2 linked regions of the Rhinolophus ferrumequinum genome follow. The protein of the gene in region 1 purifies or fractionates together with the protein of each later gene. This does not show direct contact. Links are inferred from orthologs where the notes say so. Each region holds a gene or a part of one and is shown on either strand. Other genes may lie near its edges. The genes, in order: ASIC1 and PICK1.

Region 1 (15,118 bases):
GTCCTGCCCCCTCTCCCTCCGCTGCCTCCGAGGGTCTCAGAGTTTAGAGAGCATTACAGTTCATTAGACAATTAATGCTTCTGACTAGTCAGGTCACTATCCAGGCCCTCGATCACTGGTCCCTCCCATTGGTGATTCCCCACACCCCATCTGGAGCCCTCAACACCCCACCCTGGGACCACCTCCTGTGGTTTGCTCACCCGCTGCTCCTGGCAGGCCACAAAGGTCTGGAACCCTGGGGCCACGCCAAAGCCCAGCTGGTCGATGAAGGGCGGTTCGTCCTGACTGTGGATCTGCACTTTGATGCCCGCTTCAAAGGACGTCTCGTCTGTGGGAAGGAGGGGGGTGTGTGTTGGGAGGGCTTCTGACTCCCGAACCTCCTTCAGAGCCGGGGACATCCTGCCTCTCCTGGGAATAAGCACAACATACACTGGGACTGGGGACCCAGCCCATCCGCAGCTTCCTTCTGGGTTCACCAGTCCCGTGCTGCCCTGACGAGCCCCGCAGCCTACACACTTCTTTCCTTACCTGGCTTCAGCTATGCGTCTTGCTGTTTCAAATTCTTTTTCACTGTCTCAGAGGTTCTCCATTTCTCCCCCTCCTTTTCTCCCTTCTCCCCCATCTCTCTCTGCCCCAAGGCCCCTGAGACCAGACAGACAGCAAGCAGCTCAAGAAGAGAAGGAGTTATTTATAGAGCGAGGGGCGGCCAGGGATGGAAAGGGATGGCTGGTTACCTTGGTGAGTAACTGAGCCAAGAAGGGGAAGCCAGAGATATGTGAGTGTGGCAGTCAGGTAGAATCGGAGATGGAGATGGTGAAATGCTGGGAGGGAAGGAGGAGAGCCCAAGCCCTGCCTCAGGTCCTACAGTGGATGGAGCCCAGGAGTCCCCTGGTGGAGGCTGAGGCCCAGAGCCTTGGGGAATGGTCCCCTGAGAGAGGTGACATACCAGTCTCCCCCCATACAGGCAGGTACTCGTCCTGCTGGATGTCTAGCATGATCTCCAGCCCATTGCCCGTTCCACCCTTCATGGTCTTCAGCCGTGGACGCCCATCTCGGCCTGAGTTGAACGTGTAGCACTTTCCATACCGTGTGAAGACCTGGCAGGGGCAGAGTGAAGAGCCTAAGAGGCCTGCCAGCACCCCCTACCCACCAAGATCTGTCCCAGGCCGCCCCCCAGTTGCTGGAATCACAACAGCCTTTAGGATTGTGACTGATTGCACCTGTGCAGCCCTTTCTCATTTGTCCTCCTTCCCACCCATCCTCTGCCCTGCTGTGTGCGCTGGAAAGCTGATCCCGGTGGGGTGCATTTCCTGTGCTCCTTTGCCACCTAGACAGGCTTCCAGTTGGGTTTGGTCACTGGGAGGGATTAGTAAGGAATAAAAGGGTAGAAGGAGAGAGAGGTCAGGGCACTTCTTCTCTCCCACCCTGTGCACCTCTGAGAGTGTTCTGGCCGTGCCTTAGACCTTCTGTGATGACAAATCCTGCCGGGAGGGCTCCCTGCATAGCCCATCGCCATTTTGTGCTCCTTCTACCTATGTGTGACAATTTCCCTCTACTGGTGGGTGCCTCAGGCCCCCTTATTGGTTTCCTTAACTCTGCCCACAGTTCTGTAAACAGTCCCTTTGTTCAGTTCTTTTCAGTTGAACTGAGTTGCAATCTTTTTCCTGCTGGGACCCTGACATATACACCTCCATCACCAGGATCCCATCACTGCCATACCCCTGGATTTTACCCCAGGCATCTGAAATCCTGTTCTGCCCAAGACCCCCCTCCAAACCAAGCTAAGCGTTTTAGTTGCCTCTAGCCATCACTGTCCTTCAGTGTCCCATTATCACCAGAACCTGAAAGTGGACCCAGTTGCCATACCAAGGACTATGTTCACTCAAGCACCAGCACCTCTTCCCTCAGCAGTTGGTCGTTTGGTATTGAGCACCCAGGGCATGGCATGTTTGGCAATGCTTGCACAGGCCTGTCAGGGCCTCAGAAGAGAGCGCCACCCTGGGGGCAGCCTCCCCACCCCATGCCCCAGAGCAGCCTTTATCGCCACAGAGAGAAGAGTGAACCAGTTCTTTATGGCCCTTTCTCCACAGCTTCCCTGAATGTCTCCAGGTTCCCGCAAGCGAGATGAGTGTGTTTTACTCCTGCGGGATGGCGACCAAGTCCACACAGCTGGTCATAAGGTGAGACACAACCCAGAGAAAGAGATAGAGTATCAGCCCAGACTGGAGCAGCAGGGGGCGTGGGGTTTACTAGGAAATAGAGTCCTTGCTTCCTTCCCTCTTTCTAGAACAGCCTCCTCCTCCCCCCTCCAGAAAAGAAAACACACTCTCCCCCATTTTGTGGGTGAGGTCCAGAGATGAGGTAGAGAGAGAACTCCAATGGCTCTAACTCCCCAGTCCCACTACCAGGGTTTTGTGGCACTCAGCCACAGGCTCCAGGCTGGACAAACACATTCTTGCCTACCCTCCATCTGGGCATGTGAGGGATTCCAGGCGGCTGAGGCATGCTCGGAGCTCCAGCCTTGCCCTGGCTCAGAGGACTGTGTTGCTGGCTGCTGGACTGCTGCTGCCATCTCGTGGTTCTGGCTGAGAAGTGTCTGCTCTACCCTTAGATACAGAGGAAGCCAGGTTGATCCTTTCCTCTTCCTGTATCTCCTAGCCTGTCTGAGGTCCAGTGGCCAAAACCTCCAGGTTCCCTGTCTGTCTTAAGTCAGTCCTGAAGGACAGGTGCGTGGGGAAGGAAGGCCTGACATCTGGCACCTGGAGAGGGCAGGAGAGGAATTAAGCCAGACAGACCGGAAGCTGAACCAGGGAGATGATGGGGTGCCACGTGGTCCCTCAGTGAGGATGCAATGACGTCCCTGCTGTAGGAGCTGCTGACCAGGGGTGTGGCGGGGTGGAGATGGGAACTGACCGCACCCCTCTACCTCCCGTCCACACTCTTCTCCTGTACCTCCAGAGACCAGGTGGCACCTGCCCCAGCTCCAGTCCAGGGATGATGGTCAAAACTGTTAAGGCTGGCACAGGCACCCACCATCAGATCAGAGGCTGACCTCAGAGGTGGAGCAAGGTCCAGGGCCTGCCTGGATCACAGGGAGGTCTGGACATGCTAGAGAGTATTCAGGGAGACACCAGGGGAGCAACTAATTACCAGCTAGTACAGATGTATTTCAAAATGCTAAAAAGAAGAGCAAGACGGGTTCAGACCCAGGAATAGCAGCCCAGCTCCAGACCCTGGGGCTCCTAGGTAAGCCCTGGCCTCTCTGAGGCATGTCACAGAGGGTGAGTGGTCCAGATGAGTTGGGGGAGGGGCAGGACCCACCAGCCCCAGACCCAGGAAGTCACGGTCAGGGTGAGCCATGGCAGACATTCTGGGGGTGCCGTGCCAGGCATGGGCCCCCACTCACCACCGAGAAGTTATGAGGGCCGCAGGGCCCCCCGCGGTAGGAGCAATAGAGCAGCATATCTTCCAGCCGGTGGCAGGAACGATTATAGAAGCGGTGCAGGTTAAAGGGCTCCCCAGAGAAGGCCTCGGGCCCTGGGGGGGCGAGGGGCACCCCGGGGTCATCACTTTCGTCCAGCCCCAGCATGGGGGCCAGGTAGAGCAAGTCGGGGTAGCTGAGCTGGGACAGCCGCACGGCATTGGTGTTGCAGAAGGTGACCGCTGGGAAGGCCAGCTCTGTGGTGGCCACCTCGTCTAGCAGAGTCACGTGCGGGTAGCTGAGGTAATAGGCAACGCGGTCTCCTACCTGACACAGGAAGGCACCCAGTGCCAGGACAAAGGCCACTGCCCACAGGGCCTGCCTCGGCCCTGGACCCCCCTCCACGAAGACGTGGTTGGCACCATGAAGGGTGCAGCTGCTGGCAAAGGCCACCAAGTCCATGGGCAAATCCCCCTCTCTGGCCTCCTTCCTCGCTGCCTCCTTTTCTTTCTCTTCTTCTTCCTCTTCCGTTTCTGAGTTTTCCCGCTGCTGCTGCTGGTGGGGACCCCAAACATCTCCCAAGGGCCCTGGGGCCTCCTTTCCAGAGGAGAATGACACAGAGCAGAAGATATGGATGGGCATCTTCTCCAGGGGCCTCCTGGCACCAGGGGATTGGCAGGAGAAAGGGAAGGAGAGGTGATCCCAGCAGGCTCCAGCAGGGCCAGCCACCCAACCCTTCTGCCAGGTCTCTGCCACCCACCCGGCTGGCTGTGTCCTTCCTCACCAGGGCCTCTGTGGCAGTGTGGCGGAGGCGGGGCAGGGCGGGGCGGGGCCTGGAGAGGAGGACAGCCTGCCCTGCAGGGAGGGCGGTGTCTGGGCCGATGAATAATTGATGGCAGTGGGAAAGGGAGGCTGATGGGGAGGAGGGGGGCCGGAGCCCCTTTCCTGTCTCCAGCTCCAGCAGGAAGGAGAGGGTTGAAGACAGAGTGGAACCCCTAGAAAAGCCTAGGGATTCTTGGTACCCACCTCCCCAGGTGGGACCCAGCAAAGTCCTTTGCTCCTCCTCTGAGGTATCTGAGCCCCCACACTCTGGGCACTGTCTCAGACCTCTGACTCCTCTCTCATTCCCCCGCCTCATGATTCCCCCAATTATTTCAGTGACCCTCCAATTCTCCCAATATCCCCTTAGACCCCAGTTCCCCTCTAATTATTCCTTTGATTTTCAGTTTCCTTCTAATCACTGTCCTGACCCCAGTTTACTCTCAGTTACTTCCTGAACCCCTAATTCCCCTGCAGTAAGTCCCTGGACTTCCAATTCACCTCTAGCCAGTCCCTGACCCCATTTCTATTCTCCACACTCCCCTGACCCATCTTTACTTCACCCTCCCCCCATGCAGGGCTTCATTTAGGTCACTATCCCCTCCCCCACTCCCTTCTGTGGCTTGGGGGGCAGCCCAGGTTCCATTAGCACAGGTCTCTCACTGACCACAGACTCACTTATGCTCTGTTCCCGGCACTGGGGGGAAGGACCCCTATCTCTTGCAGCTGAAAAGCTTCTTGGCAGATTACCGCTCCGCCTTCCAGCTTGCCCACCCCCCACCTCAGTCCAGGAGAGGAGTTCAAGGAATTCTGTTCTGGTGGGTGGAAGAAACTGAGATCAGAGCAGAGACAGGGTCCTGGGTCAGGTGGAGAATGTTGGGAACCAACCCGGGGAGCCCCCAAATCCTCAGCCTCACACACATCCCAGCCCCTCAGGCTCTGAGGCGTCCCTTACCCTCAATTTATCATTCCCTGCCCCCAGACCCCTGGCCCCTCTGTGGGCTCTGATTACTCAGGGCCACTGGTTGAGGAACTTGAGCCACCAGCAAAGTCTCCAGGGCCTAGAAGGTGACCTGAGGGGAGGAGAGAAAGGGAGGGAGGGAGGTGAAGCATGTTAACCCTTCCTCTGCGGGTCCAGTGGGGGTCAGACCAGTCTACTTTGGCTTTCCGCTCTGTAACCATCCCACAGCCCCTGGTCCCATTTCCCCCCTCCTTCTCTCCCGTCCCTCCCTGCTCCCATATATCTTCCCTTCTCCATTTGCCTGCAGAGACCCTGGGGTGTGTAGGGAATGGAAGGCAGGGTGCCAGGTTCTAGCAGAACTGACTGATGTGGGACCTTTGGCCCCAACTTTGCTGCCAAGGACACAGAGGCCCCAGAGAAGAGCAGCCTTTGAGATCTGGCCCCTCTCCATCCTTATGCCATTGCCCTCAGACGGGCCTCCTCGTCTGCCTAAACAGCCTTTCAATTGGTCTCCCCAACCTCCGGAACCTCCCTGCCGCTTCTCCCCACCTTCAGTCCATGACATGTAATGCTTCCCATTCTCCTGTTGAAAGAGCTTTTCTCACTGCCCAGTGCCTCTTGGGAAAATTCAGCCCCCATCCCACAGGCCTTTGTAACTTCCCTTCCAGTCTCACCTCGCCTTCATTCCAGTCCAATGTCCGGACACCATTCCCTTCTCCCATTCCGCAGACACACGAGGCTTATCCATAGTGTCATGCCTTCCCTGGACTCCATCTGGAGAACTTCTACTCATTTTTCAAGACCCTACTCACACATTCCCTCTTCCAAGAAGACTTCCGTGACCCCGTAGGGCACAGGTAGAGCCCACCCAGGGAACAGACTAACAGGTCCAGTTCTGCTCAAGGTCCTTCAGGCAGGAGTAGTGACCAGTAGCGCCTTGAGGACAGGGACCGTGAGAATGAAAGAGCAGGACCCAAAGACCACGAGGAGAAACAGGAACCGAGAAAGACCAGGGCCACCTAGGGCAACCAGAGATAAGTCACTGCAGAGGTGAAGAGAGACCCTCACCTGCAGCTGTTGTTCTCAGGCTTCTCCTGCATGAATTCATAGGTTCCTTTTCTGTTTTCTGTGCCACGTACATTTTCATCCTGCCTACCAGACCTCAGCTGTCAGAGGGCTTTGCATGGCCTCAGGATGTGTTTCAGACGTGAGTTCCCCACGCGGATTGGGGGTGGGGCCAGCCGAGGTTGAGTCTTGGACTGAGGCAGCTGCAGCTGCCCATGCATTCCACACCCACTAGAGGGCACTGTCCCTGTCCTCCAGACTTCCTGGCAGGGGAAGTCGATTGGACTTCCAGAAGGAAGACACAAGGCAGGGGCAGCTTCCAGTCTGGGGCCTCACCAGAGAGAAGGGCCTGCACACACAGAACAGCTTCAGAGGACAGCAGATCTGGCACGGCTGGACGCTTCTCCCTCACACCACCGCAAAGACCCACACCACACATCTACTCGTCACTACACACAGACACGCAGCCCTCTTGCGGGGCAACAAACACACCAACGCAACACGTACCCTAACTTCCGCCTCCGTCGTCTAACATTCGGTCCTACCTCAGTTCGTCCCAGTAGACAGATCCAAACTTTTCACAGTAATGGGGAGAGGTGGAAAGTATCAGGCAACACACACAGACCCCCAAGCATACACAGGGGGCCCCTGTGTATGACGTGGACAAGAACATTCATAGTAGCTTTATTTATAACAGCCCCAAACTAGTAACAACCCAAATGTCTAGCAAGAGTAGAATGGGTAAATAAATTGTGGTATATTTACATGAGATACTACACAGTGCTGAAAAAGAACTAACTACTGCAGCACACAACAGTGAGATTGCATCTCACAGACATAAGCAAAAAGACAGACACAAAAATGAATATACTATATGGAGGATACATATAGTCTAGGAAGTTCAAGAACAGGTCAAACGTATCTAGACTGACAAAAGTCAGAATAATGACGAACTCTCGTGCAGTCGTATTGACTCAGAAAGGGTCTGCAGGAAATTTCTGGGGTGCTGGAAATCTTTTACGCTTTTATAGCAATGTAAATACATACCAATGTAATATGTAAAACGTTAAATTATAAGATACACTAATATAAAAATATACTAATGAAAAATTAATCAAGTTATACCATTAAATCATACCCTCACAATTTAAAAGATGAAGAAGGCTTCGGATTGAAACTTGAGTATTGCCAACATTTCATGGCCAAGTAGAATAGAATGAACTGGCAAAGAGACAGAGGAGTGGCTAGACAAAGAAAGAAAATCAGAAGAGTATGATTGTCAGGAGAGGAATGGTCCAGAAAAGAGGTGGTGGTCAACCATTCTGAATATTATTGGGAGATCAAGGACAAAAAAAAAGTTTGCAAGATTTGGCAACACAGGGGTCACTAGTGGCCTTAGCGAGAACCATTTTGGTGGCGTGCTGGGGGTAGGGAAGCATGCCGTCTCGAGTGGCTTAGAGAATGAGTTAAAGATGAAAACTGGGAAGACGGGAATATATACATTTCGAGGAATATACAGTGGAATATACATTTCAAGAATTTTGTCTGTGAAAGGAAGTGGAGAGAGAGGGTGAGAGTTGGGGCTGGGGTGTGCTGTGGAGTTTAGACATTTGTAATTTTGTTTCTATCTTAATCTAAAGCCTGATACACAGTAAGTGCTCAATAAATGTTAGCTGTCATTACAGCTGTATAAAGATGGGAGAATCTTAAGCATGTTTCAATGTCAATGGGAAGGATCCACCCGAAAGGGAGAAACTGACAGGAGAGGAGAGAGAGAGGCAGAATCTTTAGGGTGAAATTCCTGGAAAGATAGAAGGAGATCAGATGGAAAGAATAGGTTGAGATTTCAGCCTAGAGAAGATGGATGTTCCCCTCTGGGGACTGCTTCCCAGAGGAAGGGGAGATGTTCTCGAGGCTGCTATCTTCCCTGTGAAGTAGGAGGCAAGGTTATCTGCTGAAGGTGAGAAGAGGGCTGGAAGGGTGCCTATTTGAGAAGAGTGGAGAAGTTTGCAATAATCATTGGGGAGAGCAAGTTGACCAGGAAAACACAGTGGGGTTGCCAGGCAGCCCTGCAGACCCGGTTAAGGATGTTGGTCATACACGCAATGTGATTCCAAGCTGGCCTGTTGTGTGACTTCCTCTGGTAGAGCCCTGGAGCCACCCTGAGGAAAGCCGGAGGTGGTTCCATCTAAGGTTGGGACATGTCCAAATGGTGCAGTGAAAAGGGAGAGGAGTCAAAAGACTTGGTGTCCTCAACCTGAAGCTGGGATTCCTTCTCCTTTGCACGCTTTCTTTCCCTTCCTGCCTCACCACACTGCTTCTTTACAGAGCACAGGCAGTGGGGGAGCCTGGAGCTTTCTCCACCACACGCCACGCTCTCGCTCCTATAGTCATGCACAAAGAACCTGAACGTCGAAGATCTGAAGTCAAGGTCCCACCCTGTCATTTACTGACTGTGTAACCTCAGACAAGTCACCTAATACCTCTGAGACTCAGTTTCCTCATGTTTCAAATGAAGATATTAAAGTCTTCCTGCCTCCCAGAATTATGAGGATCACATGAGCTAAAGTAAAGGGAATTTGTAAATTGCAAAGCGCGCCCCTGAGAGAGATGATTGATTTCGCTGCTATGTGCTCTGCATGCGACCAGAGGTTCCCCGCACACAGGCTCCCTCCCACAGCCACACAAAGCAGGCTGCGTGCCCATGCGCACGTCACACACGTCCACTTCACACCCTAGTCTGCACCCACATTTTCCCACTCAGATGGGCACACAGGTGCACATGTGTGCTTGCACACGTGGGGCACACATGCAGTGAGTGTGTCACGACGGAGTCTGAGTTGGCTGCTGTCCATGGTCAAAGCCACTGCAGCAGTCTCTCCCCTAGGGACATTCTCAGCCTGACACGATGATGCGACACACCAATTAGACACACATACACACACACACACTCTACGCAGCCCAACCTCCCAGGTCCCCAGGACTGTCAGCCACATCCAGGGGGTGCAAATGAGACGGGGTTGGGGTGGGAAAGGGTTTTCTTTCCAAGAACTATAAGAGCTCAAAAAAATCACAACATCCCCTCCCTCTCCCTTGGGAATGGTCTTGGAAAGGCTGGGGGCGGGGGGGGGAGGGGACAGAGTTCTTAAGGAATACACAGCAGTTTCAGGTTCATTTTTAAATTTCTCTGTGAGGAAGATGTCTGATCCATGTGTCCTGGACAGCCAGGACGGCACATCCATCCTACACGTGGGCCGGGATGGGCTCAGCCAGTCCCTGAGGCTGAAGCAGGGGCTGCCCCTTGGCAAATAATAATTTAACAATCCACTTAGAGCCCCCTTTCTTCACAGGAAATTGGGCCTACAAGCTCTGAAATGGAGCAGATGGAACTATGTCCAAAATAGAACCCAGGAGTCCCAACACCCAGCCTCATCCTCCACCTAAGCTAGGCACCACTTCTCATTCTTGCAGCGTTCTCCCCAGTTTTGCCTCCCAGAATCCCTATGCAGGGGTCCTGACTGGAAGGTTCTCAGCCAGAGGGTCGAAAGAGGCTCCCGGAGGGGCTACCTCAAACACATAGTGAGGGAAGGCTTGTGTCGGGGGGCCTGGCCAAAGGCAGGCAATGACCCTCGCTGAAAAGGACTCGGCTGATCATCCGCTGGGGAAGGCTGGGGTGAGGGACACACCACACGTTCTACAAAACTGGACTTTCTGAATAGCTGAGCTGGCTGGGGAGATTGCAGGGACTCTACTCAGATGTCGAGAGTCCTCTCAGCCCTGGCACCATACTCCTTGCTCCAAAGGCTTTTGTTAGCACCACCCACCCTCTCAGCTCTGCCCTCACTCTAAGCTCTCTGAAGGCAGGGACAGGGTGTGTCTGTTCACCACCCGCTCTGGCACCCAGCATGTGCCTGGCGCTTAGAAGGGGTTCTGTTTGTGACTGGAATGAATCAAGTGGAGCTTGACAGGCCTAACCCCAGCTCCTCCTTCCTAAAAGACACCTTTCCTCCCCCCTCCCCCAGAAGTCAAACTGCCTTCCACAAAAATCAAAGCATGCTCAGAAGCAACCCTCACCCACAGCAGAACCTCTTGCCCTCTTTGCAAGCCTCTCCTCTGCTTCCTGGACACAAACCAGATGCAAAGGGCCATACCTTCCAGTTCCCCACAGGCCAGGGCAGGAGAAAGGCCCAAGGCAAGGAGGTGTTCCTCCTGCCCACCCCTCCACTTCCGGCTCTGTCCCCAGAGGCACTTAGTTACTTACATCAATTCCCTATTACTTTAGCCAACAGCCAGGAGATCAATTAAGTTAGAGTAGCCTCTTAGCTGACTGCAGTCTGGGAGAGGGGTGGAGTCAGAAATGGCAGGGGAGGAAGAGGGCAAGGAGATGAAAGAGGAAACTGTTACCCAAAGGGGTGTGTGTGTGTAGGAAAGAGAGAGCCCACCCTCGGGTCCTCTGGATTCTTGCTACTGGCTCTACTTCAGTATCCTCCCTCCAACATCAGGCTCTTCTCAGCGAGAGAGAGAAGGGAAGGATGGGAACGAGGCTGGAGGAGGTATCCAGGAACCCCCAGGGCAGGAGTGCCCCTCCTCCGAACTTAACCTCTCACGGCAGGCTCTCCTTTCCCTCAGCAATCTGTGCATGTTCCCCTTTCGGCATCCCTACTCCCTCCCCACTGCACCCAGGAGGACTCCTGGGCCTCTGGGTGGGGTTGCCCGTGCCCCCCTTCCTCTCTGTGTGGCAGTCCAGGCAGCCTTTGCCCTCAACAGTCCCCTTACTCCCTACCTAGCTGGAGGGAACAGACCCAGGTAGTAATGTTGGGCCCTCCTCAGTGACTCCTGCTCTGGGCTGCTATGGTGGGGTGTATGGGTGTGAGGGGTATGGATAAGGGGCAGAGCTAACGCTGGGGATAAGCAAGCTTCCTGCTAGTCCTGGCTCTCTCGGGGACATGCCATCCCAGGCTCTGCTTGTCTTCAGATGACCTCTCCCTCCCTGTCTGGGTCCCAGAACAACCCACCTACACCCGCCTCTTATATCAGCATCTCGCCGCCCTAGACGCTCCAGAAGATTCCTGTCCCCCAAAACCTCAGAGGGATTTCGGTATCCACCCCTCATCCCACCTCTCCTCTGGGGGTCCTGGGGGACTCCTATGGGCCCCTCAGGGATTCCTGTCCCCCCCATCCTGGTTCCCCAGTTCCACACCCTTCCGAGGGAGAATACTAGCCCCACTGCACACCCATCCTCAGGATTCCCAGTCTCTGCCCTCCCCTTTCTTCTCTTCCAGGGTCCAGAAATGAATATCTGCTTCTCTCTCCCCCAGGCAGAAGCTCTGGGTGTCAGCTGGAGGAGGAGGTGGCATAGGGCAGACTGGGCAACCATCTGCCAGCCCCCTCCCCTCGGTGCCTTTCAGCATTCCAGCCACATTGGCACTGCCACTGCCAGGGACAGATAAGGTGCAGCTGGAGGCTGACACCAGCTGCAACTGTGCTCAGTCCCTCCAAACCCCACAAGACACCAGCAGACAGCTGCACCCCCGGGGGGCCCCTTCATGGAACCTCTGCCCTGCCTTGGACTGACTGGCCTTGAGGTGCGGGGTGGGGGGGGAGAGTGGAGCCTTGGACCCTGTTTCCCCACCAGGAAGGAAAAGCGGTGGCCAGGGAGGACGGGGCCTTCTGTGTAGGTCTCTGGTTGCTCTTTTGGTAGTTCAGGAGAAAGCTCTGAGGCCTCACCAACTGGGGTGCTGGGGGGATGCTCTCCCCATTGCCCTCTGCCTCTTCAGTTGCAAAGTTTTCAACCAATTCCTCCCAGATTTAGCCTATTTCCCCCTATTCACCCCCACTCTCGCAGGCTGACTTAGCCACAGCTGGGGGATGCACCCACCAAACACCTTTGACCACCAGACTACCCTTGAAGTTGAGCTGGACTCAGAAGCACATCGGGGGGTGCTTGTCACTGCAGACCCCCACCAGGAGGGTTGGGTCTGTGACAGACCAGAGTGTACCATTCCAATGTCCCCTCCAGAAGCACACACACAACCTCACACACACCTTCAAAGCACCCTCCCATACAACCTCTCACAGGTTGGAAGAGGGTTGCCCTTGGAAACCTGTGTAAGACTTCCCACGTGCCTGTGCACACTGTATTTTGCAAACACTCTGAGACAGGGCTTTGACCCCCAGTTAAGAACCTCTGCTCATGAGGTGGCAGAAAGTGCCAAGATGGTCTCCCCTAAGCTCTGACCAGATAGACAGATGTTTTCTGTCAGTGCCACATCTGTCCAGGGGCTAGACACACACCTTTTGGTGTAGCAGAGGATGGCAAGGATGGAGACCCAGGAGAGGAGAGAGAAGGTGGAGGGAGCATCAGCCACGGGGTGTCTGCACCCCGTAGGACCAGGGAGCTGGAGGGGCGTGCCAGAGCCCTTCTTTTCCACTAGGGAGATGTCAGACGTGGACTCACAGCCAAACTCCCATCCATGCGTGTAGGAACATCCCTAAGGGCAGAAGTGGTAGAGTTCCTGACATGGAAAGGGTCTGGTCAATCAGAGAGGGTAGAAGGAGGGGCAGAGACGTTTGGTTCCAGCCAGATTTGGGGTCAGGTGTTTGACATGGGCTCAGACACAGCAAAAACCTGTCTTCTCTGCCAACCCATAACCAAGAAGTGCCAGTGTGGGCCGGTAGGTTCCTAGCCTGTATATCTTTTACCCCAGCAAGAGGAAGAACTCAGATTTGCTCCAGAACTTTCTGAACCAATCATATTTCCATCTAACTGCTTAGAATTGTCCCCTCAGACAACACAGACCAGTCAGTCACATTTCAGTATCTCCATTTCCATGAACCACTTGGAATCTTCGCATCACCACTTGGAATCTTTCTGGACACGAGGGACAAATGGAGCAACTGAACATTTTCTATGGACGAACTACATCCCCATTTTATACTTTAGCACCTTCCCAGCTTGAGCCAAGCAATTCCTTCCCTTCTCCAAACACTACAAACCATCAAACACTACAAACCAAGTTCATAAGTTTTCTCTGTCTTTCTTGGTGGCTCCTTCTGCTTGTACGTTGGGTAGGTTGGAGAGGAGGGCTCTGGCTTTCAGTGCCACCTTTACCTACAGTTCTACTACTCGTGGGAGCACAGCTGGTGAGTCTGGGAACCCTTTGGTCTCAGGTTCTGGGGAATCCAGGACTCTCCTGTTTTGAGGAAGGAAAAACGGGAAGAAAGTGGTCCTTGCATCACACTAAGTTCCCCATCAGCTTGGCTCAGCAAGACGTGTGTTCATGTAACCTTTGTCTGGTAGATTTGACAAAGGCCCATGAAACTGGTCCACATAGCAGGACTTAAAAAGATTAGGAAGTCTTATTTATGTAAACTGAGTAGGAAAAAACATGCATGACCATGGCTCCAACCTTTCTACACAAACAAATACAGTTCATGCTCCCGTATGCTAGGAGGAAGCACGCAAGTAGGGGAGAAAATGGGCAGGGAGAAAAGGGAGGCTCTGAGAGTGGGGAATTGAGGGCAAGCATGGAGAGCAAGGAGGTCCTAGGGGAGACGGGGTTTTCAAAGAGCAATAGCCAGAATTGGAAGGGGACACGATGACTCCAGGGTCAGCAGTATTAATGAAAAGAGCACACTGCATTGGGACTTAACGAGACATGTTCTAATCCTGAATCTGTCACTAACTGGTTATGTGAGCTCAGGGCAACTCTTTCTCCTCTCTGTGTCTCAGTCAGTGTATTTGTAAAATAGAGACAGCATGGCTATTTATCCAGGGGATTGAAAGGGAGGCTAGAAAGCATTCTGAAGAGTTACGAGCATTGTCCTCTCATTTGGTATTATTTTTTATACATGGCTCCAGGTCCTCTGGTCCCTTTGTAGCCTCTGTGTGATTCTAACCCCTCAGGAACCTGTATGATTTGCCCAGAATCACCTGGAGCATGAGGTGCCAGTCAGCTTCCCTAACCCTTTCTGAGGTTCTGGCTTTGAGACAGCCCCATCTGTGGGGGTGGTGTCTGTGGGGCATCTCCATTTTAAGAAGTAAAGGGAGCCTCCAGTTCAGTCAAGATTGTGCACCCCAGATCCTTCTCCTTCCTCAGATCCTGGCTCTGTGGCTCTTGCTGGCAAGGGGGTAACCCAACTGGACAGTGTATGTGTGTGCGCGTGCGGCACAGAGAATCACCTGTCTAGCTATTTAAGAGAAAGCGTCCCTTCTCATATTTCACAGTGCTTCTCAAACTTTAATTTGAATCACCTAGAGATTTGTTAAAATGCAGATTCTGATTCAGTAGGTGGAGTGGTGACGTCTGCATTTCTTTCAAGCTCCCAGGTGATGGTCCTCAGATCTCATTTGAGTAACAAGTCTGCCACTTACCCACCACCACCCCCAGGTCTGACACCTGTGGCCCAGAAGGTAGCTTGATGGGGTTGGGGCCGTGCCAGGCGGTCTCTCTCTCTCTCTCTCTCTCTCTCTCTCTTTCTCTCTCTCTCTCTCTCTCTCTTTCTCTCTCTCTCTCTCTCTCTCTTTCATACTATGGGCTCTCTTTCTTGCCATCATGGACACAAGGCTGAGGCTCCCGCTCTCACACAGAGCAAATGCACCCCTATGCTGAACAAAGTCCCCTCCTGCCAGAAGAGAGCCCCAGGGACACACAGTTTCCTCTCCCAGAGTAGCCAGCAGGACGAGAGGGCCACCTGCTCCTAGTTTCCTCCTCTTCTGGAGGCTGGGCTGACTCACACCCCACACCAGGGGACTCACCACCTTGAAGTCTTCTGCGCTGCAGACCTCCCCCCGGAATTGGCAGGAGAGCAGCATGTCTCGAATGTCGTGTCCTGCACGGTCGTAGAACTCG
Region 2 (14,886 bases), about 42 Mb from region 1:
CCTTCCTCAGGGTCCCTGCGCTCACTCAGCGAACAGGTCTGAGCACTTTCGCGGTGCCAGGCGCTGGGATGCCAAGGAGCAGGAGCAGGGCCCTGGGCCCAGGCCAGGAGGGCCCACGCGGACCAGCAAGCCCCACCGTCGAGCCCTGGTAGTGACTGGAAGACAGGTGCCGGCTTCTCCCAAGAAGCCTTCCCTGACCACGTGAGGCCACTACGGTCACTCTGTCCTTGCAATCCTAAGACCCTTTAACTTGGGACCGAATCCATTCGAATACAAGACAGGATCTCAAAATGGAGTCCTGAAGGGAAATCAAAATGACCGATGTGGTCAGAGTCAGGGGTGGACGCAGGAGGCTCCCTCGGGAGGCAGCACATGAGCTGGGGACCCCCACAGATAGTAGTTGACGGGGGAAGGGAAGAGGCACCACAGCAGGGGTCAGCCCTGGGTGCCTGTCCAGCTGTGCGACCACAAGCAAAGCCCTTCAGCTGCCTCGGGGCACCAGCGAAACAGGGACAATATCCCTGCTTGGCACCCAAACAGGAGTGCGGGGAGATCCCTATGTCAATGTCAAGGCTGTGCATACCCACGAGGAACTCCTGTCCGTAAGGGAAACGCCAGGGGCTGGCGCGAGGCAGGACAGGGAGGGTCCTGATGAGCAGCGAGGTGAGGGGGCCCGGGGAGGACCCAGAAGGGCGCGCACCCCAGTTCTGAACCAGAATAAAAAACACTGCCCACCCCTTTCCATGATGGGCTCCTCCACCCAACAGGTCCAGTAAAACCCAGACCAGGTGGAGTGGCGTCTGGGCCCTAAACGAATGCTATCGTTTCCTTTTATACAACAGAGCCCTGGGCCCCCATCTGTCCCACGGCTAAGGGGCTGGAGCAGGAGAAACTATGGGATTGGACTCTGCGCCCTAAAGGCAGGAGGGAGAGTGATGGGGTGACGCAGGGGTGGAACAGGATAGTAAAGGGGAGAAGGCGGGGAAGGCGCTGGCCCTGGGCTAAGGCCGGAAAGAGGGGCTGGTGGCATCAGGTCTTCAAGACACAGAAGATGGAGCGGCAGTGAGGCGAGATTTGGATGGAGGGGCTGAGGTTCGCTACAACGCTTGGCCAGGCTCCACTTCCCGCTGGGACCCTTGACTCTCAGACTTTTAAATTATACTACTTTGCAACTCCTTCACTATATTGGTTTCCCAAGAGTTACTAGCAGCAAATCTCTGGGAAATGACAAAACGGCTGCACGCTTGTGCCTATGAGGGGCCGGGATGCCACCTATGATGTGGGAGCGGCCTTGGCCTGGAGCCGCTGGGTGGGGAGGCAGGGAACAGGTAGCGCGTGACTGTGATTTACAGAGCAGAAGACCAGCAGCTGTACCGGGAGCTGCCCCAGAGTCAAGAGGCCTTCCTGGGGGTCTGTGAGTCCAGGGGGACCCACTGGACTGGAAGTTCCTACAGGGATGGGCAAGACGCGCTCCTCTTTCCTTCTCGCCCCCTCCAAGGCCCAGCATGGCTCAGCTGACATCTAGTAGGTATCTATGACCCAGGTAAGTTCACCTTGGACTTCTAGCTTCAGGTCCAGGCCTAACTGGAGATACACTGGCTCTCCCTGAGGCATGGTTCCGAGTCTGACAGTTTACCTGAGAGCCTGAGGACAGGGACCTTTTAGTCTTGGCGCCTACTCTCTGGCCAAGGCTCAGCACGAGGCCTGGAGCATAATTAATATCTACTGAACAAAAGCAGGAGAAAGTGAGGGAGGCTGGGGAGTGAGCCAGACCCTCACGCTCTGTGGAGGGGAGCCTCAGGCCTGCTGGGGCCTCGGGCAGGTGGGAGGTCTCAGAAGTGGCTTTCCTGACTCAAGGTCCTCACCCCCCGCAGTCCTTACCTTCACTTCCTGAATCATCTTCGCTACCTCCACCTTAGTTTTTCCTTTGATTGACCTGCCATTGACACCAGTGATCTCATCGCCAGCTGCCACAGTGCCGTCCAGGGCTGCCGGGGTGTTGTCAAATACCTGGGGGTGCATAAGGAGGGCAGCGTGGGGGAGGAAAGGGAGAACTGAGACACACCTGGCAGGAGACAGTCCTTCCCTCCACCCCAACCAACATCCGGCTCTGTCCTGGCCACTACCCAGAGCAGGGTAGAGATGCCCGAGCAGACAAAATGCATCGCCCCACATTCTTAGGGAGGCGGAGAGAAGGAAGACAGAAGGTAAATGCAAACTGATGAGGCTTTCCTTTTCTAATGTCAAATACACCAAACCTCACACATCCATCTGAGCGTTTGCTCCTCCAAAGTCATTTCTTTAATAGATTTGACCAACAATGCTGTTCTGAGCTGAGTGATTCTGATTTAGCCAAAAATGACAAAATAACTACATTGGGAAGATGTGGTATGAAGAAGCAGAGTGGTTTTGGAAGGGCAAGGCTAAGCAGGAACATGGCAAGGAGGCCAGGCCTGGGGGAGGTCTCCCTGACACCTCCTGGGCTGGAAGAGGCCAAATCACTCGTGAAGGCAGCACCCTGAGCAGCCAAGACTAGGTTCCAGGAATCTCCATCTTCGAGGCCTGGAAGCGACTCCTTTGCAAGATCTTCAGAGACCAAAATTTCCCATCTGCCACCAACAGCTACTTAGCTGTTAGAACAGGTCAGAACAGGGTAGAAACCAGGTCAAGTCTGAGCATACTAGGTCAGACAATTAAGTTCACGAACTCATCCTATAAAAAGTGCTACATATCTCATTGCTGAATATCACTACCGTCACCTTCAAAGTACTCCCCTTGGGAAGCTATGGACTCCAGTGCCTAGTCCACCCTCCAAAGCAATTTTGGAACTCTATTTCTGGAATGGACTTCAGAGCTGTCGTCGTATTACCCTTGAGGTCCTAAATGTCATCAAAATGTCTTCTTTTCAATATTTCCTTTATCTTCGGGTAAAGAAAGAAGTCACTGGGGGCCAGATCAGGTGAGTAGGGAGGGTGTTCCAATACAGTTATTTGTTTACTGGCTAAAAACTCCCTCACAGACAGTGCCGTGTGAGCTAGTGCATTGTTGTGATGCAAGAGCCATGAATTGTTGGTGAAAAGTTCAGGTTGTCTAACTTTTTCACACAGGCTTTCCACCACTTCCAAATAGTAAACTTGGTTACTGTCCAGTTGGTGCAAATTCATAATAAATAATCCCTCTGATATCAAAGAAGGTTAGTAACGTCACTGCAACAAGTTCACGAACTTAATTGTCACACCTCGGATGTCCAAGGTGGCAAGCTTCCTTCCAAGGCTACAGAAAGGTCACTGCCTGTCTCTACTCCTGAGTCCCAGCTGACAGAATATCACCAGTGCAGCTTCCTCTACAAGGGACCACAAAATTGTTCACTACCACCGGCAGTTCATCTGGGAAAGTGAACAACTGCCATAAAAGTAGTAGCAGCTACTATTTAACGAGTGCTTATTAAGTACCGGGCATTGTGTCATGTCATTTTGTTAATCTTCATAACAACCCAAAGATGCTCATATCTACATATTTTATATCCCCACTTTCCAGGTGAGGAAACTGAGGCCCAGGGAGGGGTAAGTAACTTGCTAATAAGCAGGGAAGCTTACATTTGAACTCAGGCCAATATTATTTCAGTCTTTTAGTTTTTCCACTACACTTCACTTGTGCTAGTACCAAAAGCTGGTGGTTTGTTGATTCATTAAAGATATTTTTCTTGAAGTCCTAGTCTATGTCAGGCATTATACTAGGTACTGATAAAAAAGCAACCTGGGATCCTGCCCCAGGCACAAAGAATCTGAAAAAGCAGCTAGATATAAAACAACTAAAGAGCAAACCCATGATTACAGGTGGTGATAAGGACCGAGAAGAAAAAGAAAATACTGGAATAACAAAGAAAAACCAGGGCAGCCCTACTGAGAAGGGGTGGTCAGGAAGCCCTCTCTTAGGAGGTCAGACCTCAAGAATGAAAAGGAGCCAGCTCTGCAGAGTAGAGAAAGGAGCTCTTGTGTCATGGCCAAGTAGGGAGGTGGCTTGCTCTCTCCAGGACCTCACCCCCACCTCCAAAGCACCCAATACCTGGACAATGTAGAGGCAGGGACAGTACTGGGCCCCTCCTCCAATACTGATCCCAATCAGGTTCTGAGCATCCTTCTGCAGGGTCACCTTCCCGGGCACGGTAGGGATTCCACTGGAAAGAGAAGCACAAGAGGCTGAGTCCCCCGGAGGAAGGATGACTGGCGAGGATTGGGAAGGGGACGGGCCCTCTAAAACCCCAAGAGGCTCCAAATGCTGCACAGCCTTTTCTCTTTCTCATTTGGCCAGAGAGACAGCATTTTGTGCTGGAATGTGCACAGCTCTTGGAGTCACACAGACGTGGGCCCTCCTCCCAGCTCTGCCATTAATCAACTACGGGACTTGGGTAAGTCAACTTCTTTGCAGCTCAGTCTCCTCATCCATAAAATCATATGGAAAAAATGGCTACTTCATCAAAGTTATTGTAAGAAGTGCCTAGAAGGCACTTACCAACAACCCAGCCCATATCAAGCACTCCGTAAAAATAGGTCCCCCTTCCTTTACTTCATTCTACCTCTGAGGTTTAAGTCAGACTCTGTCCTTGTCACCTTCTCAGGCACATATGGAATGTTACGTCCACCTCCTCTGGGAAATCTTCTCCTGCTAAACTATCCAACACCTATCTCTCAATTGCCCTACTCAATCACCTCTCAATTTTTACTATAAATTAGCACTTACTTATGTTTTGTGGTAAATATTCTAATTCATTCACTTTCTCACAAACATTTGCTAACAACCTACTTGCGGTCAAGCACCTTATAAAGTGCTGAGAACACAAAAAGGCATTGGACCCAGTCCTTGCTCTGAAGGAGAATATATTCTAATGAGATTAACTTAATTTTTGAAAACGTGTCCCACCAATCGTCTACAGTGGGGAGGACAGTATGTTTACGACGTTTCTATTCATTCTTTGAAACCTGGCTCAATTGCCACCTCCTCGGTGAAGCCTTCCCTGAACATCCCTACATAGGCTGCATCTGCTCTGCTCTCCTTGTAGCCAGGTGATTCTCCATTAAGGCCCTATGATCCTGAATTGTAGTTATCTGTTGATGTGTCCACAGTCCCCTACAGATGGTGAGCTCCTGGAAGGGAAGGGTCGGTTCTGCTACACTACAAGACCTAATCCACAGCTGAAAAACAAGGGTCGGTGCAACTGGCAAGCCTGGGGTCTGGGGAACTTGGGGCGCCTACACTTTTGGGACTTGGGGGAACAAAATACTCACAGTTTATCCTCTTCGATATCATAATCCAAATCTGCAAACATGGTTCGGAGAGTTGAAGTGGGCTGGCTAACTGCCCAGTTCCGCAGGGGAATAGGGAGCTGGATCCGGGAGAGAAAGGAGCATAGGATTTAGGGAACCCAAGTGCCAAGATGTCAACCCCAACCCTGGCGATCCAGACCCTCCCACTCCCCTCTGGACCGTGGGTAATCCCTGTCGAGTGGCTAGGTGATTCTTACTAGGAATAGGGGGGGACTCCAGGCCAGGGCGCTGGGTTCAGATCCCAGATCTCTCCCCCGGGTCTTCAGGCACTTGGAGGCTGCCTCTGTCGCTCACCGGAAGCGTCGGTCCACAGCCGCGTCCCAGCCAGGCTGGCACCTGTACCCACCTGCCGTTCCACCTGTCGGCGGCCGTGACTGTCGCGTCACTTCCGGCCGGACACGGAAGTCCCGCCTTCCCCCCCGGGTATTTACCCCAGTCCCTGCAAGCAACTCTTCCCTCCCTGGCTCCCGGGACTCCCAGAACCAGGAAAGAGAACAAGTATTGACGGAAGCTCGCCGTTAGCATGAGAAAGCGGAAACAGAGGAAAGGTCTGGACAGTCTGACAGCGCTCAACCCCACCCCTTGTCCTGTGGCTGCCGCCATATTCATAAGGGCAAGGTTCTTCCCAGATTCCTCAGCGGGAAGCTGAGGACCACTGGCCCGGTGGTTGCCGTGGCAACGGAAGCATCCTGGGTGGGGAAACTTCCGGCGAAGTCCAATGGCCTACAAACCCTTCCACATTTTCCGCACTCTGTCCTAGGGTATTACCATTAATAGAATGACATGTCGGAGCCAGCGTAACCCCATTTTTGCAGACCAGGAAACTAAGTGCCAGAGAGGGAAAGGGATTCTGTCCGGAGCCACCTGCAGTTGGTACAAGATCCAGATCTTGACTTTGAGACTCTGACACCTAATCCAGTGCCCTTTTAACACCTGCATACCTATGTTCACAGATCTGCTATTAACGACACATTGGACAAGTTACCTCCTCTTTACATGCCTGCTTTCCCCATATGCAATCTAAGAGTATTGAGGTAGGGATGCTTTCTCTGGTATTTGGTGAAAGATTCCTCAACCCATGTCCTTTGTTAGCCCTCAGGAGCAGCTCCTCTGGGGTCTCACTGAGGGCCAGGAAATGCCATCAGTGCTTCACGGCCCAGGAGTTCGAATCTCGTCTCCCTGCCAGCCTCTGCAGCCACTGCTACTGTGCAAAGCGGGTTCCCTAAAGGGGGTTGGTGCTCACAGAGCCACAGCCTTGGCATCGATCTTGTCCAGGGAGCATGGGCCCAGGCCTGTCCAGCTTCCTTCCCTAGCTGCCCCGGGGGCTTTGGAGGAAGGAGAGAATCACAAAAATGATTATCTGCATATCCCATAGCCTAATGCGATCCCCACCACCTCCTCCTTAGGGAGTTAATCTGAGTCACAGCAGATGTTCAGAATGCCACAATAACAAAAACTGTCCCACGTACCCTGAACTGCTTTGCAGTTCAGATCACTTCCATGGGATTTTAAAGTTCACCGCAGCCCTGTGAGAGGAGAACAAGTATTGTCAGCTCCACTCTGCAGGTAAGGACCCTGAGGCTCAGGGAAACAGCTTCCCCTTGTGTCACAGGTGGCCCTAGGCAGAGCTAGGGCTGGAACCTCCAAACCCTGTTTGCAGGCCAGAGTTTCGGTTTTAAAAAGCAGCAGCCTCCAGACCCAGATACTTTCACATGGGCTGTGGCTCTCCCACCACACAATAGCTCTAGCTCAAGCCCGGACATTGCCATTTTGTAGCTGGGGGATCTTGGGCAAGTCACTGCATGACTCTGAGCTTTGGGTATCTGTAAACCGGGGACAGTGATCCTCTCCACAGGTACTTGTGAAGGTCAAGATAAAAAGGAGAAACAGGTGCGAGTGCTTTGTAAAGAATTCACATGGCACAGATTCACTCCGCCCTCTTGACCCCAACCTACTCAGGACCCTCTTCTCAGGTGAGGGCAAGATGCCCAGACCCCTCTTGTTTGCTTTATCTTCTCTCTCTTCCTACCCAGCTCTATCTAATCCACCTCTTCTGGGGAGTTTTACCAGACGATCCCAGCTCACAAAGCTGCCCCTTTTTCTGAGCTCCTAAAATAGTTGTTATTTAGATTGTTCACTTGAAAATTACTTTTGTATTGCCTTGGGAAATCCTGCCTGGCTTCTTTGAGCCATTAACTATTACATGCTTGTATTTTGTCTGGGGAAGCTTTTTCTCCTTTAAAATTAGGACCTAGGGCTCATATCTTGACAAATTGTGAACTGCTTCTCCCTGTCTATCCGGACTTTATACTCCCTGGCATTCACACCTTCCATAGGACGCTAAGAATCCATCAATAAGTGTCACTGTGACAAGAAAAAGAAAATCAGATTGCTTTGTAACGCCTGTTAGAGTGAAGTATTATGACCCACTTTATGTTTGTCAGTGGAGCGGGGTCTCCTGGGTCAGCTCACAGAGCATGGAACCTGTTCCAGCCAATTAAGGGGGTGAGGTTGGGACCATGAATTTATTTGAGGGGAAAGAAAGTTGGAGTACCATGTTCCATCACCAAAGTAATCAATTCTTGTATCCCCAGCTGGACAGGAAGCGCCTGGGGGCAGGTCTTGCCATTCTCTGCATCTTGCACACACCTGGAGCACAATACCTGGCTGTGGATGAAGTGCATAGAAATAGCTGTGGCTTTATATGAGATGGGACGGTCCCTCAGCCCTGGAGGAGAGGACATGGATGGGCAGAGAGGGAACGAGATGATGAGGGCCTGAACCTGGACAATGGCAGTGGCCTGAGCTTCCCCCATGGGGCTGGAATCACCAAGTATAGGTCCTGAATTTTGGAATTTCAGTTTTCAGCAAACAGCAACCTCCAACCTAGGAGTTTTAACATAGCCTGCAGCTCTGCCACCCCAGGACGACCCCAGACCAAATCCGAGCTCTGCTAATTTGTAGCTGGGGGATGTTGGGCCAATTGCCCTTTTCCTCTGAGCCTCAGGTATGTGCAGAATGGGGATGATGCCTCCCAAGATAGGAGTTATAAAGACGGAACTAAAAGAGAAAAGCGAGTCTGAAAGTGCTTTGTGAGCGATTCACTTGGCACAGATGTCAGAGGTTTTTATTGTCATTCCTCACTGTAATCATTTTGCCTGACTGCTTCAGAGGGCTGGGCGTAGGACACACCTAAAGGGCCATTGGATGCTCAGGCGCCTGCATCAGACTCATCTGGGAAGCGTCTTACGTGCAGATTCCTGGGCTCTGTCGCAAACCTATTGGATCCATCTCTGGGGAAGGAGGATTTTCACAAAGCTCCATGGGCCATTTCGTTGCTAACTGCAGCGGACGGCTGTCTCAGAGGCTCAGGATGTACAGTGTCTGTGCAGCCGGTGGGCCTGTTCCTCCTGAGGGTGAGGCCTCTGGTGCCAAGAATCCTTGCTCCAAAGTCCTCACATTAGGAGGAGCCAAAGGCCTGGGAAGGCTTCCTGGAGGATGCGACCTCTCAGCTGAGTCCTGAGGAAGGTGTACCCAAGGCAGGTGACACAGGCAGACGGCACAGGTGGTGCGGGCAGTGGAGGTTACAAGGAACAGTCCCTGTGCTCAGGAAGTCACTGTGGTGGGGTGAGGGGGACTGAAACAGACAGTAGGAGCAGTGACAGGGGTGATGAGGTCACTAAGTCCAAGTGAAAACTTGGGGAGAACCGTTATTTCTGCCAGAGTCACAGGTGAGAGGGGTCAACAAGGGCCTCAGAGGGGAGGTTTGAGCACCTGCTTCAAGATGGGTAGGATTGCAAGGGTTGAAATGGGGGCGAGGACATCCACCCACTTCCAGGAGGCTGAGCCAGGACTAGTCCTCAGACCCTCTCTGTCCAAGATTGCGCCTCCTCCTTCTCCCCTGCTCCGCTTTTGAGTCTACCCAGGCAGCCGGGTGACCTCTCACCTGGCCTAACCCTACCACTGAAAGCTGTGTGACCCCAATCTCTCTTGGGCCTGGGTCCCCTGCAAGATTCCGCCCCTCAGTTCCCAAACCTCAGGTTCAATCTGGAAAAGCTTGCCCCCCCAATCCAATATTCCTGGGGATGTGCTGCCACCCAGTGGCCATCAGGAGAAACACCCCCGGGGCACCAGAGTGGCAGGAGAGTTCCCCCCACCTGTCCACTCCTGTCCTTGTCACCGCCCAGCCCTGCTCAGGCTTTGTAGCCTGTAGGCGATGGATGAGGCTGGCTGTACGTGTGCCATGCTGTGTTGGACATGCGTACCCTCAGCACTGCTGTGGCCCCAGCACAGGGCCTGACTCACACTGACTTTGCAGACTCCTGTAAAGGGCAAGAAACGAGGGGTTAGTGGGTGCTGTTCAGCTGAGATACATAAGGCATGGGTTTTAAAATCGAACAGATAGTGACACAAATACCAGCAGCCAACACTTACTGGGCATTTACTGTGCATTGGGCCCCTTGCCAAGGTGCTTCCATTCATTGTCTCATGCGAACCTCACCACAGCCCTTTTAAGTGAGGTTAGTCATTCACCTATATATTCATTCATTCATTCATTCATTCATTCATTCGATAAATTGTATTAATACCTACTACGTCTAGGCTGACATTTCGGGGAACAAGAAAAGCAAGGTCCCACCCTGACATGAGTGGACACAGCAGTCCCTAAAACTAGGTAACACCTCCCACTTCAGTGCATTGGGCGAGGCCCCAAATCTAAAGGGGAGCCCAGTGGGAAAGGGTGCCAATGTGGACTTGTGGGGAGTTGGTGGTGGGCTGGACAGAGCATTGGCTGAGACCAGCTGTGTGACCACAGAAATGTCACTTGACCTCTCTGAGCGGTGGTCTCCACGGCAAAATGGCTCTCATAAGAGACCAAGTGTTGGTTTTAAAGTTAAGTCAGACCATGGCACTCCCCTGCTCGACCCCCTCCAAAGTCTTCCCATTACACGTGGAACAAACCCTGGGTCCTCACCTAGAGATGGAGGCCTGGCTCCTCCAGCATGTCGCCTACTCTTCCTTCCTGTTCACTTTCTGTTCAAGGGCCTCTGGCCTCTTGCTGTTCCTGGAACAGGCTGGAATATTTCCACTTCTGGGCCTTTCCTCTTACAGGTCCCTCTGCCTGGAATGTTCTTCCCCCAGGCATGCTGACTCCCTCACTTTACCCTCACCACTACTCACATGTTACCTTGTCAGGGAAGCCCTCCTGAGCACCCAGCTCAAGTACAGACCTGGCTCGTCTCTGTCAGGACCCCATTCATCCCCGCTGGGCTCATAGCACAGTTTGGGATGACGCATTTGTTTGCTTCTTAATCAGCTGCTTGGCTGTCTCCCCACCAGACTGCAAGTTCCCTGGGGGCAGGATCCTGGCCTGTTCAGGTCACACCGCTATTGCTAACACCTAGCATACCCCTAAGCTTGCGTACCTGGTTGGCACACACCTTTCTCTACCAGGCAGTAAAGTCCTTGATGTTGGGGTTGGGGGAAAGGAATGTGACAGAAGTCAGTGAAGAGCAGTGACAGCCGAAAGTCACACAGCAAGTCGCGGCCCTATGTACCCGGCCTGTAGGAATAGTCAGTGCCTTCCTATTGAGTGAACGAATAACCATGTCACCGAGCGCGGGAGCCCAGAGACTAGGCAGTGGTGGCGAGGCCCTCTGTCAGAATCCGGACTTGGCCTGGCACTGGGGAGCCACGGGAGACTGGCAGACAAGAGCCAGAGCAGCTGGATCTGTGCGTGGGCTGGAGCCCACTGGCTACCATAGCAGGTTGACCTGGGGGGCATTGTCCCTCCCTCCCTGAGTCTGCAGCAAGGGGAGTTAGCAGGGACAGGGCCGCTCGACTGGGAAGCTGGGGTTGGGAGGCAACAGGGAGCCTGGCTGGGTGGGTCAGCCCTGGGGTGGATGTGTCCGTGGGGCCAGATCCGCTAGGGATAGGAAAGCTTCTCCCACCTGGGCGGCAGTGGCTGACCAGGGGAAGGGGCACTGCGCAGAAGCATTTGCATCCTTCCAGAAGCCCACTTTCAGCTTTGATGGAGCCATGAACCTCATTGTCCTTGGGGTACTGGGCAGCTGTCCCCTCTATTCTCAACTGCCTCCTGGGCTGCCTCTGACCAGAGGTTGGATGTGGGCTTCCATGGGGCCCGAAGTCCCCCCAACGACCCCCAAAACTGCTCTATTCCTGGCTTTACTTGGCATATAATGGACTGACCCCTGACCTCCCCTCCCCCTCGCCTAGTGCTCTGCCCCCTGGGTTAGGTCAGTGATGAAAGCTGGTGGGAGCCCAGGGGGTTGGAGGGAGAGGGACAGTGCCTGATTGTTCCCTGCCCCTGGCGGCACGGCCACGCTGTCTGTGGAGTGACTGGCCCTTTGCTCTCTCATTCCTTCTGTCCCCTTTCCGCTCTTACTCTCACTCTCTGTCATTCTCCCTCTTTCTCTTTCTGTAGGTCAGGGGTTCTCCAACTCAAGTGGGACCTTAGTAACCATACAGATGCTGGGGCACCCCCAGAGATTAGGAATCAGCAGGTCCAGCATGGGGGCCCGTGGTTCAGACACGGGGCTGGGAAGCCTGGCAGGACGCTACATTGCCAGGAGCCTGGGACCAGAGACCTAAGACCCTGGGCATCGCTGGCCCTGCGCTTCCACTAAGTATGGAACGGACTCTTGGGATGCTCAGAGCCAAGCCAGCCTCACAGGAAATTACATGGGACACAGATGTGACTGTTTCTTCTTCCTCTTTCCCCTCTGCCCTGCCTCACCCTCACCTTCAATATCCATACGTGTCAGGCTCTGTTTTCTCCCATCGGTCCGGCTGTCCAGCTCGCACCAATGAATACCACACTGGCTCACTGCCTACAGCTTTAGGATAAGCCCTGATATCTGGCAGGGCACTGCCCCTCCCTCGTTCTTCAGGAGCCTCGGCTATTCTTAGTGCTTTGCCCTTTCTTGCTACTTTCAGAATCATCCTGACGAGCTCCACCAAAACCCTGTGTGTGTGTGTGTGTGGGGGGGGGGGTGATCAGGACTGAATTGAATCTAGAAATTAATTCGGGAATTTTTGTGACATTGAATCTCTCTATGCAAGTTAATGACTCTCTCTCTGCCTTTATTTAGGTCTCTCTTCTATGTTTTATTAAGGAAAATTTCGAGTGTACAAAATTAGAATGCAGCTCCTTTTACCCAACACCTAGCCTTACCAATTGTTCTTCATGCCCACTCTATTTTCAGCCGTAACCCTGTCCATTCCTGCCCATTCTCCCATCCCGGCCTTCATTATTTTGAAGCAAATCTTTGGGATCTTCTTTAACGTCTTCTAATAATATTTTTTGTCTTACCTTTCGTTTCCAAATAACTATAGATTGACAGGAAGTTATAACAACAGTACTGAGAGGGTCCATGTTCCCTTCACCCCATTTCCCTCAGTGGTGACATCTCACATCACCATGTACTTTACCAAAACCAGGAAATGGACATCAGTCCCATCCGCAGGTTAAAGGTGGCATTTTACATGCATTAATTCGTGCGCGCGTTGTGTTCCATGCAGTTTCATCACCTGTGCGGATTCAGAGAATCACCACCACAGTCAGATGCAGAAGTGTCCTACCTCGCGCTACTCATTGATAGAAACACCCACCTCCCTTCCCTCTCTGCTCCCCAATCCTCCAACCACCAATCGGTTCTCCATCTCTAGACTTTTGTCATTTTGAGAAGGTGACACGAACAAACCACACAGCATGTAACTTTTGGAGACAGGCTTTTTCCCTTCACACAGTTCCCTCAAGCTCCATCCAGGTTGTTGCGTGTATCAATAGTTCCTTTTCATTGCAGAATGAAACTCTGCATGTCCTAACCGACAGGCTTCTAGGTTTCCAGTTTTTGACTCTTACAGATAAAGTTGCCATGCACAATCGTGTACATATTTTTGTGTGGAAATGAATTTTTTATTTCTAACAAATGCCCAGAAGTGCTGTTGTTGAGTCACATGGTAAGTATATGTTTCATTTTTTAAGAAACTGCCAAACTATTTTCCGGAGTGGCTGTGTCTCAGTCACGTTTTATGCTTTCCTCTATAAATATTTTGTTAGATTCAATTTTTGTTAATATTGTAAATGGAGGATTTTTAAAAATTACACTTTGTTGCTCTGATGTTTATAAATGCAATTTCTATTGAAATATAATTTACACACCATAAAATTTTTTAAAGATTTTGTCTTTTTTTTTTTTTACTTTCTTATTAGGAGACTCACTATACCTCTTCCAAAGTTGGCACCCTAAAATTCATCATTTTAAAGTGTGCAATTCAGTGGTTTTCAGTGTATTCACAAGGTTGTATGCGCAACCATCACCACAGTCTAATTGCAGAACATTTTCATCACACCGAAAGGACACCTCCCATTTGCAGTCACCTCCCATTCCCTCCTTCTCCCCAGCCCCTGGCAACCATGAATCTGCTTTCTGTCTCTATGGATTCGCCTATCCTAGACATTTCCTATAAATGGAATCTCCTAATATGTGGCATTTTGTGACTGACTTCTTTCACTGAGCATAACATTTTCAAGGTTCAGTCACATGATGTAGCTGCAATTCATTTTTGATATTGATTTGCTATGGGCATATCCTATCTCTGCTAAATTTTTCATAGTTCCAATCATGTCTCTGTAGATCTTCTGAATTTTCTGTGTAGACAGTGTTATCATCTGCAAATAATAACAGTGTGCTTCTTCCTCTCCAATCCCTATGCCTTGTTGTTGTTGTTTCATGTCTTACTGCCCCAGCTAGGACCCCAGGTATAATGCTGGACAGATGCATGGACGAGGGCCAACTCGTCTTCTCTGCTCTTAAGGAATGTGTGTCCATTGCCCTTTTGGGAACTGTGTTTCTGCTGGGGTTTGTACATAATCTTGATTAGTTTAAGGAAGTTTCTTTCTATCCCAAATTTGCTAAAACAGTTTGATCATAATGTCTTGCCAGAGCCGAGATGATCTTATGACTTTCCTCCCATAATTTATTACCGTGATGAATGGCATTAATAGATTTTTTAATATAAAAACACATTTCTAGGATAAACCCAAGTCTGTCATGATGTCTATACCCTTTTTATTCATTGCTGGTTTTGTTTTGTTAGTATGTTACTTGGGGTTCTTGCATCGAATTTCACAAATGGGACTAGCCTATGATGTCCCTTTGAATACACTGTGTAAATGGAAAAGCCATCTCTGACCTAAAGTGACACTCACAAAGCCTCTGTCTGTGTCTCTGTCCCCTCCCCCATACACACCAATCTGACTTGAGGGGTGCCTCTGTGGGAGGCAGAGGGAGGGAGGCACCCCCAGACCCTGAGGCAGCCACAGAGGATGGGAGCTCAAGAACCGGGACCTTGAGTCTCGGAAGGGCCCACAGAGCTGTGACATGGCTTCTGGGCCCCTCATTGAAGAGGGAGGCTTCACAGAGATCTTCCCCTTCCTTGTCCGTGTGGGGGAGGGGAGCCCTCCAAAGGAAGTGGCTAAAAAGGGGCCAGGGTCAGGGGTTAATGACCGCATTGTGCTCAGGGCTGACGGATGGCC

Evidence for each region.
Region 2: the proteins of ASIC1 (region 1) and PICK1 purify together in Homo sapiens (affinity purification with western blotting; 3 studies listed by BioGRID and IntAct, with this or other methods). This does not show direct contact. The link is inferred for Rhinolophus ferrumequinum from reciprocal best matches to the Homo sapiens genes ASIC1 and PICK1.

The regions. Positions count from the first base shown.
Region 1 is NC_046293.1:50,867,314-50,882,431, reverse strand, and holds the start of ASIC1 (acid-sensing ion channel 1), read right to left. Parts: upstream 4,211-15,118; 5' UTR 4,064-4,210; coding exon 3,407-4,063; intron 2,181-3,406; exon of another isoform or gene 2,091-2,180; intron 1,098-2,090; coding exon 947-1,097; intron 329-946; coding exon 201-328; intron 1-200. UniProt on the Homo sapiens protein: Forms voltage-independent, pH-gated trimeric sodium channels that act as postsynaptic excitatory receptors in the nervous system, playing a crucial role in regulating synaptic plasticity, learning, and memory.
Region 2 is NC_046293.1:8,943,600-8,958,485, forward strand, and holds the start of PICK1 (PRKCA-binding protein), read right to left. Parts: upstream 5,842-14,886; 5' UTR 5,619-5,841; exon of another isoform or gene 5,522-5,618; intron 5,384-5,521; 5' UTR 5,327-5,383; coding exon 5,286-5,326; intron 4,178-5,285; coding exon 4,066-4,177; intron 2,011-4,065; coding exon 1,882-2,010; intron 1-1,881. UniProt on the Homo sapiens protein: Probable adapter protein that bind to and organize the subcellular localization of a variety of membrane proteins containing some PDZ recognition sequence.